Arabidopsis thaliana: one gene and its partner. The protein of the gene in region 2 interacts with the protein of the main gene of each other region in a pairwise test. Each region holds a gene or a part of one and is shown on either strand. Other genes may lie near its edges. The genes, in order: APG7 and AT5G43690.

Evidence for each region.
Region 1: the proteins of AT5G43690 (region 2) and APG7 interact in a two-hybrid assay, tested with the Arabidopsis thaliana proteins (one large-scale study listed by BioGRID).

What each region holds. Positions count from the first base shown.
Region 1 is NC_003076.8:18,613,367-18,617,292, reverse strand, and holds the start of APG7 (ThiF family protein), read right to left. Parts: upstream 2,119-3,926; 5' UTR 1,990-2,118; coding exon 1,851-1,989; intron 1,571-1,850; coding exon 1,359-1,570; intron 1,275-1,358; coding exon 1,028-1,274; intron 938-1,027; coding exon 843-937; intron 764-842; coding exon 471-763; intron 388-470; coding exon 243-387; intron 157-242; coding exon 1-156. Other genes in the region: SAG12 (senescence-associated gene 12), read right to left, coding at 2,534-2,859, 3,007-3,267, 3,540-3,926.
Region 2 is NC_003076.8:17,544,094-17,548,019, reverse strand, and holds AT5G43690 (P-loop containing nucleoside triphosphate hydrolases superfamily protein), read right to left. Parts: upstream 1,909-3,926; 5' UTR 1,748-1,908; coding exon 752-1,747; 3' UTR 535-751; downstream 1-534. Other genes in the region: AT5G43680 (uncharacterized protein), read right to left, coding at 2,666-2,700, 2,812-2,922, 2,992-3,160, 3,249-3,307, 3,382-3,523, 3,638-3,759, 3,886-3,926. UniProt on the Arabidopsis thaliana protein: Sulfotransferase that utilizes 3'-phospho-5'-adenylyl sulfate (PAPS) as sulfonate donor.

The DNA of each region.
Region 1 (3,926 bases), 1.1 Mb from region 2:
TGCTGGAAATATCTGTTTAAGGCTTTTAACAGCAGCAACAGCTTTAAACTCACCACGACCTAGACAATCTTCAAAATTATAGAGAGATTGCCTGACTGGATTAGACATGGCAACTTTTCCATAGTCAACAAAGGTGATATTGCGGATTCCCCAACCCTAAGAAAATAAAAGATAAACGAGTTCTTAGTTAATCAGTGAGTTTGTAAAATAATGTCAAATCTCGCATTTTCTTCAATACGTACCATAAGGGTACGAGCAACTTGGCAACCCAATGTACCAGCTCCAAGAAGAAGGCATTTGACAGAGGACAATACATTTAAGTTAAGAGACGGTAATGCTCGCCATCTCATTAACTTTAAGTTTAAATCGACAGCAGAAACAGCCAACCTGCGAAAGAACGTGATTCCGTTTGTCTAATCAGATTTTACCCATTTAGTTGAGTAGATCATTGACACAGAGCAAAAATGTACCTTGTTGGATCCATGGAATTAGCAAGGCTAATGGATCGGGGTACACGTTTCCCTTTGTTAAGCTCCCATCCCACTGAGTTAGGTACAGTCTCAGCTGATTCACCTGATGAAAGTGTAATTGAGGCTTGACCAACAAGAGAAAGGTTCAAGTCAGCGAAACCACGACTCTCTCTGTAGCAGAAGAACCAAACTGTCTCGAGGTTCCATCTTGAGCGAATCAGTGCCAAGTAGTTTCGAAGTGGCCAGCCAGGATTACTAGGAAGGTGACACGGGTCATAGAAACCGAAAAGCAACTGCAGGAAGAGAGACACATAAAGGTGAATTTTGTTTTTTCTGTATCTAACGCATATGGAAGAGTTAGTTAACACATACCTTTTGATGATCACCTTGGCACGCTTCCAAGTCTTTAAGATGTCTGATACTAGCTTTTGAATCAGAAGAAACCGAAACCAAAAAGAATGGAACATCTACAGCAAAACACGGAGAAGTAACAAAAGGTTTTCAGCTACCACTCCTTGAATTTTAATAGTAAAAAATAGAACAAGAATGTTGAGTACCAGTAGTTAAATCTGAGTCGCGCCAATCATTACAAGCAGCGGATACTGATTCAGCCTCTTCAGAACTAAAATACTCTGAAGCTGGCTTTAATTCAATCAAACTTACAGGAGGATCAAGTACAAACGCAGGGAACGCAAACCAATACCGAAAACTCCATTTCTTAAGGTCTGCAAAGGAGATAACGAGGAATCTTGGTAACACAGAAGGGTCTTCAAGAGCTTTTCCTGATTGAATATCCTCCCAAATCTAAAATTCACCAACAAAATTGTTAAAACTTCTGCAGACAAGAACCAGTAAAAACCAAGTCACGGAGCTAAGTTTTGTATTTACCTTATTTGCTTCTGCTTTTAGCAGACTTTGTTTGTCAAGTTTATTGAAGCTTTCAACGGTATTGGTGTTATACAAAATCCCAGGAACAGGACACTTATTCCTATTTCCATGACTAGTACTAGCAATCAATGATTGTTCATCTAAAGGCAATGACTCTGATAAAAGAGTCAAATGATTTGAGACTTGTGGATGTCCACATGGTCCATAGAAACCTGAAAATTTCAGTTCCAAAAAAGCACATAAATTCTAAATCTGAATAATCTCTACTAAACAAAACAGAGGCTTTTAAAGTTCTCAACTTTTTTTTTGCTTCTCTAACCTAAACGGATCATAACAACTTGCCCAGAAAACAGAGGATTTTCAAGTTTTCAACTTTTTTTTTTGCTTCTCTAACCTAAACGGATCATAAGAGCTCGAATGCATAGACTCATCGAATAATATATAAAAATCGATGCATTGGATGATTTTTTAATTCGATGATTGTGTGTTTACCGGTGATTGAAATCGGAGAATCATCGATTCCGAGTTTGTCGAGTTTCAAAGAGGAGAAGCTATGCCAGAAACCTTCGTCGACGGAACTGTTCAATGGAGCGAATTGAAGTATGATTGCTGGAGTTTCTTTCTCAGCCATGGCTGATCTTATCTTTCTGAGAGATTGCAATGTTTATTATGGAGGAGAGTCAATGAATGTGAGAAAGAAGAAGACGATGACGGAGAACGGTGAGAAAAAGGAGTCGTGCAAGGAACATGGTCAATCCGGGTCGGGTCGGCTTTATATCCAAGCAAACCAAAACCGGTTTATTTTAAAAAAGTAAAAAGCATTAACCGGACGGTTCGTCTTTTTCCATAAAAATCAAACTGAACCAAATTCGGTTTATTACAGTCTTCTCAGTAAATGGTTAAGAGTTTTCAAACTTCATTTTTTTAACAAATTTTCATTTTTACTTGGTGGAATTTGATTGTGCATATGCTTCAAATTATCCCTAGCTAATACCGTTGAAATTTGAAAGAAACATTTCGAAAATTATCAATCCTTTGCATTACATAAGCTTACAATTTCATAAAATGCATACAACAGTCTAAATACAATTTTTTTACATAAAACAATTCAAATTATTTTTAGACATCAATCCCACACAAACATACACAATTAAAAGCTTAACACGGTTTTGAATTCATATAGTTGGGTAAGAAGCTTTCATGGCAAGACCACATAGTCCTTGTTTATCCTTGACATCTTTTTGAATCCTCATATATCCACTTTCTCCCCATTTTGTTCCCCATGAATTCTTGATGATCCAATACTTTGATCCGTTAGTAGATTCGCCGTATCCAATCGCAGTTACTGCATGATCAAGATACGTAGTGCACTCTCCAGTGAACACACCAGACGAATAGAATTGGAAATCAAAACCACCTCCTTCAATTCCAACGCTAACCGGTTGGTGTGCCACTGCCTTCATCAGTGCTTGCTCATCATTAACCGGGACATCCTCATAACCTATGATATGTGAACGTACATGAGCTTTTTAAGATTCAAAATATGAATTTTATCTAGTATAGTAATGTTTATTAATTTGGATAATATGATTAAAAATCGGTTTAATCTGTTTAATTATTATATGCCAGCTCTTTAACTAAAGTGAACCTGTAATAGAAGTTGCTTTTGGATTGGTCTTTTTGGAATTGCAAGTAGCGTCTTCGCCTTTGTAAGGATAATTTGACTCAGTTGTCAAGCCGCCAGTCGCTTTTATATGCTCAAACGCAGTATCCATTAAACCGCCTTCGCAGCCAAAATCGTTTGTGTCGCAATCAACAAGCTGTTGTTCTGACAAAGATATAAGTTTCCCTTTCTTTATTTGTGTTGCTCCTTCAATAGCCGCAACCGCTGAAAACGCCCAACAACATCCTACAAAAACATCACTCATTAGTGTCACTATCATAAATATTTTCATGTGTCTAACTACATATCTCAATAAAACGGTATGAAACAAAATATATATAACTTAACATAGAAAAATTTAATAAAAATATGGTTATTCGATTCGGTCAGTTACACTATGGATTTGGTTTGGATCGGTTTGTTCACTATGAATTAACTCAAATTGATTGAATACATAAATTTCGGTTGGTTCAATTTGATTTCACTTATATATATATGAATAAAGATTTGAGTTATACCGCAGCTGCCTTGATTCTTGATAGGGGTCACAGCTCCTTTCTTCCTCCAGTCAACAGAAACCGGCAAAGCACCAGAAGAAACGTTTTGGTACCTAAACGGCGACATTTTAGTTTGGCTTTGGCTAGATAATGCCGAGACACCTTTGAAACCAGTGTACATGGAACGAAATTCGTCATTGGTTAAATCAGCAAACTGATTTACCGCAAGTTTGAAAGTTCTTCCGGCAGGAATGCTATTTAAATGTTCAATGCGTTCGACGTTGTTTTTGAACACAACGTAGCGATTGTTTTCCTCCTTCACATCCGCGTAGACACGGCCGTGTTTAGTCATCCACTCGATGTGCCTCTTTTGCATGATGAGTTCATTGTCGAGTGGACGAGAAAGAG
Region 2 (3,926 bases):
TTGTAAATATACATGAGACTAGTATAACTGATATTCTACAAAAAGTCGGTAACAAACTAACAATATAAGACCAATTCTAGAGTGCAAACTAGAAAACAAACAGTTTAAGAGTTACAAGAGATAGATCATATAGTTTTGAAATATGGAAGCAAATAACAATCATCAATCCATATTCTATATTGTAGTTTTTATTTGAATTGTGGCAAGACTTTGGGTTCGATTTGAAATGAAAAACTTTGGTTTCATTGCATAATGTTTAACCTGTATATATATAATAGGAGAGTCCTCTCTCCATTTAGGGTGTCCATCTAAGCATCCATATAAGCAACACTATTTATTTTATGTTAAAATAAATTTAAACATTCATTTAGTGCATATTTTTGTTACTTATAATCATAAAAAAATGAATAAACAAAAAACGAATTATGTAAAATAAATGAGCTGTTAAAATAATAAAGTTATACTATAACTTTTTTGTTAGTAGTAATAATCTATTATACCACACATTTTATTGTGCCTTTACGGTTAGGTGTATCGGTATTTACTCGGGCAATCATCATATCTTGAAATAGTTGTATTATGAATATACATGGAGTTGTGTCAAATTCACACTTTTGATTTTTGGGCCAATCACTATGCATTATTTTATTGAAAGACAGTCAATACTCATAAATCAAAGGAACATAAGAAACAGAAGGTAGTTTTATTATAATGCATATGTGAAAAGCTACAAACCACAAAGAACACGAATCTAGAACTTCAAGTCCGAACCTTTTAATTTCTCCTCGATGATCATGTCGATTTTGTTCTCCATTTCGGGAGTTAGATGATTCTTCCAGTCACCAACTTCTCCTTTGCGGAAATAGCTTTTGTAGTCATAGTTCATCCATGTTTTTCCGGTTTTGTTAACCTCCAAACCGCTCAGATTACCAAGAGAGCATAGTTCCAAGAGTTTGCTAATCGAACCACTATCTTCTTCTTCCTTAGTGAAAGGAAACCCCAAAAACTCGGCAAGCCTCTTGACCTGGACACACGGCTCTGTTTTCATTTCCTCGTACCTCATGAAAAGGACATGCTTGGGGTTTTCCAAGCTGCCTCTCCAATAGCTTAGAGCATGGTCCCAAAACGGACCATAGAAGCTAACTCCGCCACAGAATGACTCGAACATTGACTCAAGAGTGCTTCTAGATACTTCATTGTTGCTATACTTGGACCTGAAATGCCAATCCGATATCAAAACATCCTTTATGTTCCTGCACATATACACAACCTTGCATGGAGAACCCTTGAGGCCCTCTTTGAAGGTGTGTAAAGGCATGTGAGTCGAAAACAGCCTCGGGGATGATGTTGAGAACTTGGTTAAGTCCGGTGTTGAGGTTTTGAGATACATATCGAACTCAAAGAACGGTACTATGCCATGAGGATTATCGGATAGCAAAGGATGTGTGAGGGGATCATCATCAAAAGGCTGTTTAGATCTCTCCACGATTGCGACTGAGAGTGCCTTGAGCCAAGTTGTACCGGATTTGGGGAAAGACGCGAGAATAATGTCGGTGTCTTGCGGCTGGAAGTTTCTTTGGTAGTTGATGACTGCTTGGAGAGTGTTGTGGTAATACCAACATCCTTGGTACTTGCAGAGCTTCACATGAGAATCTTGGTATGTAGGAAGTGAAGAGATCAGAGTTTTTGTTTCTTCACTTAGGTTGTCGTCTCTCGCGATCACAGGAAGATCACTTTTTCCAGCCATTTCTTTCTTAATATGTTGTACACAAATGTGTTGTTTCAATATGCAAACATCACCTATATGAGTAACTCAAGTTTCTTGTTGGATGAATATTTTAGCTTTAAAATAGTAACAATTAGTGGTGGTTGAGAGAATATCTTGATGTTAAATATGTGTTGTGGTTGTCGTCTCTTCATTGCATAGTGCGTTTTAAGCCAATTTATTTGTTAATTTGTGCTACTACAACATGTTTTATTTTAAAATGCAAACATTATTATTTAATTTCTGGTAGGTACATATTAGTCAAGTTTCTTGTTGGACGAATCTGATGAATATTTACTTCCAAAGTAGTAACAATATTGAATATTATAAGCTATACAACAGCTACCCTAATACTGTATATACAGTAAAACTTCTATAAATAATAATGTTGGGATGTTATAGACCTTTGTTAATTAAGCAAAAGCTTCCCTTTAACCCAACTCTCTCTTAGTGGTTATGAATCAATAGAGACCCTTATATAGTCTTGATACAACTTAATCATAACCTTAATTTTCTTTTATAAAGGAAAACTTTGAGAAAACCATGGATGTCCATTGGATTTTTATAACTACACTTGTAAAAATACACAAAATTTTATAAAATTTAATAGATCTCTACTCTTTAAAAAAACCCAACCAACTCTATGCAAATCCAACTCACACTAAACCTCCGAAGTAAACAACAAAACCTAAACCTATAAAGCGGAAGCATTAATTACAAGATGAAAGAGTGAACTGACTTCGCTCCAAGTTTAGCTCACTTGTTGCCGCATCAGAAACAAAGGTCCCTCAGATTCTTGGCTCATCGAACATAAAAAAAAAAACAGTTAAATAACAAGGCCTACTCTTTTGTACCTTGCCGGTGTCTTGTGATCGATGATGGTCCCCAAAACTTTTGAGTTCAATTTTCTCCTTTCCTGTCACTGAAAAACTTCCCTGCAACACTCACAAGAATAAAGAAAAGAGTTTAATCAATACGAGTTTTGAGTTTTTTTGCTTTGATCTTAACTGTACAACAGATAGACTAAAGAGGTTGTTTTGTCTCACCTTTCAAAGCTGGAGTTTCTTTCTCGGCTTGTGCGAAAAAGCTTTTCGCCTTGTGTGCTACTTCCGCTTCAAGAACCGCCTCTAACATTAAATCAGATCCTCTTGCACTCTCTGCAACCAAACATATGGGAATAAAGTGAGCAACTTCGGTTTCTAAACTCAAGCTATAAAAGATTCTACCTTTGCGTTGAGGAAGCAACTTTGCCATCTCAGCTGATACTGGAAGAACAGGTGAATCACTGTTTAGACTGTGAGTTTTTCCATTGACTGTCTCAGATAATCGTGCAAATGATGTTGCTTGAGCGTGCAGGTTAACAGAAGCTGACGACGAGCCACTAAATTCTTGAGCCTTATATGAACATAAAAATACAAAAGTGTGAATTTCACAATTCAATAAATAAAAAATGGATCAAGAAGGATCATAACATCAAAAAGACCTTTGTATAATGATCTACAGGCTTCTGTTTTTCTTCAACATTAACGGATGTAACAATCCCTAAAATACAACAAAACCAGATCATGAACAACAACATGCAAGAAAGAGTAATGACTATTGAGTGTTTTCTATACCATTGGTGGTGCTTGGACTAGGTTCTTGAGTTTTTTGGTTATCCACTCTTCGAGTCAAAGGACTAGAATCAAATAGAGAAAATCTTGCTCCATGGCTAATCGCATCTACTTGTGCTCGTAAATCTTGAACTTCTTTCGATATCTAAACCAAGTACGAGAGTAATGTAAGGCAACAAGACTTCAAGGAATATGTCATTCGAATTCACTACAACAATGATGTTGAGATAAAACAATGTTGATGAAGAAACAATCAAACCTCTTGCATCTGAGGTTGTTTCATGACACCATCCAAGTGACCACGAGCCATATTGATGTAACCAATGGCTCGTCCGAATAATCTTCCTCCTGCTCTAGCAATAATCGGAAGATCCTTGGGTCCTGTTAAATCAGAGATTCACATTTGATTCTTCCAATTAACACTCAAATCATTCGATTCCAGAGAAATTTGGGAGAAGAACACAAAGATCGGAGCTGGTAAAGCTTTTCGATTGAAGAGAGACTAACCTACAAGAGCAGCTGTGGCGCCGACGATGAGTAAGAGCTCA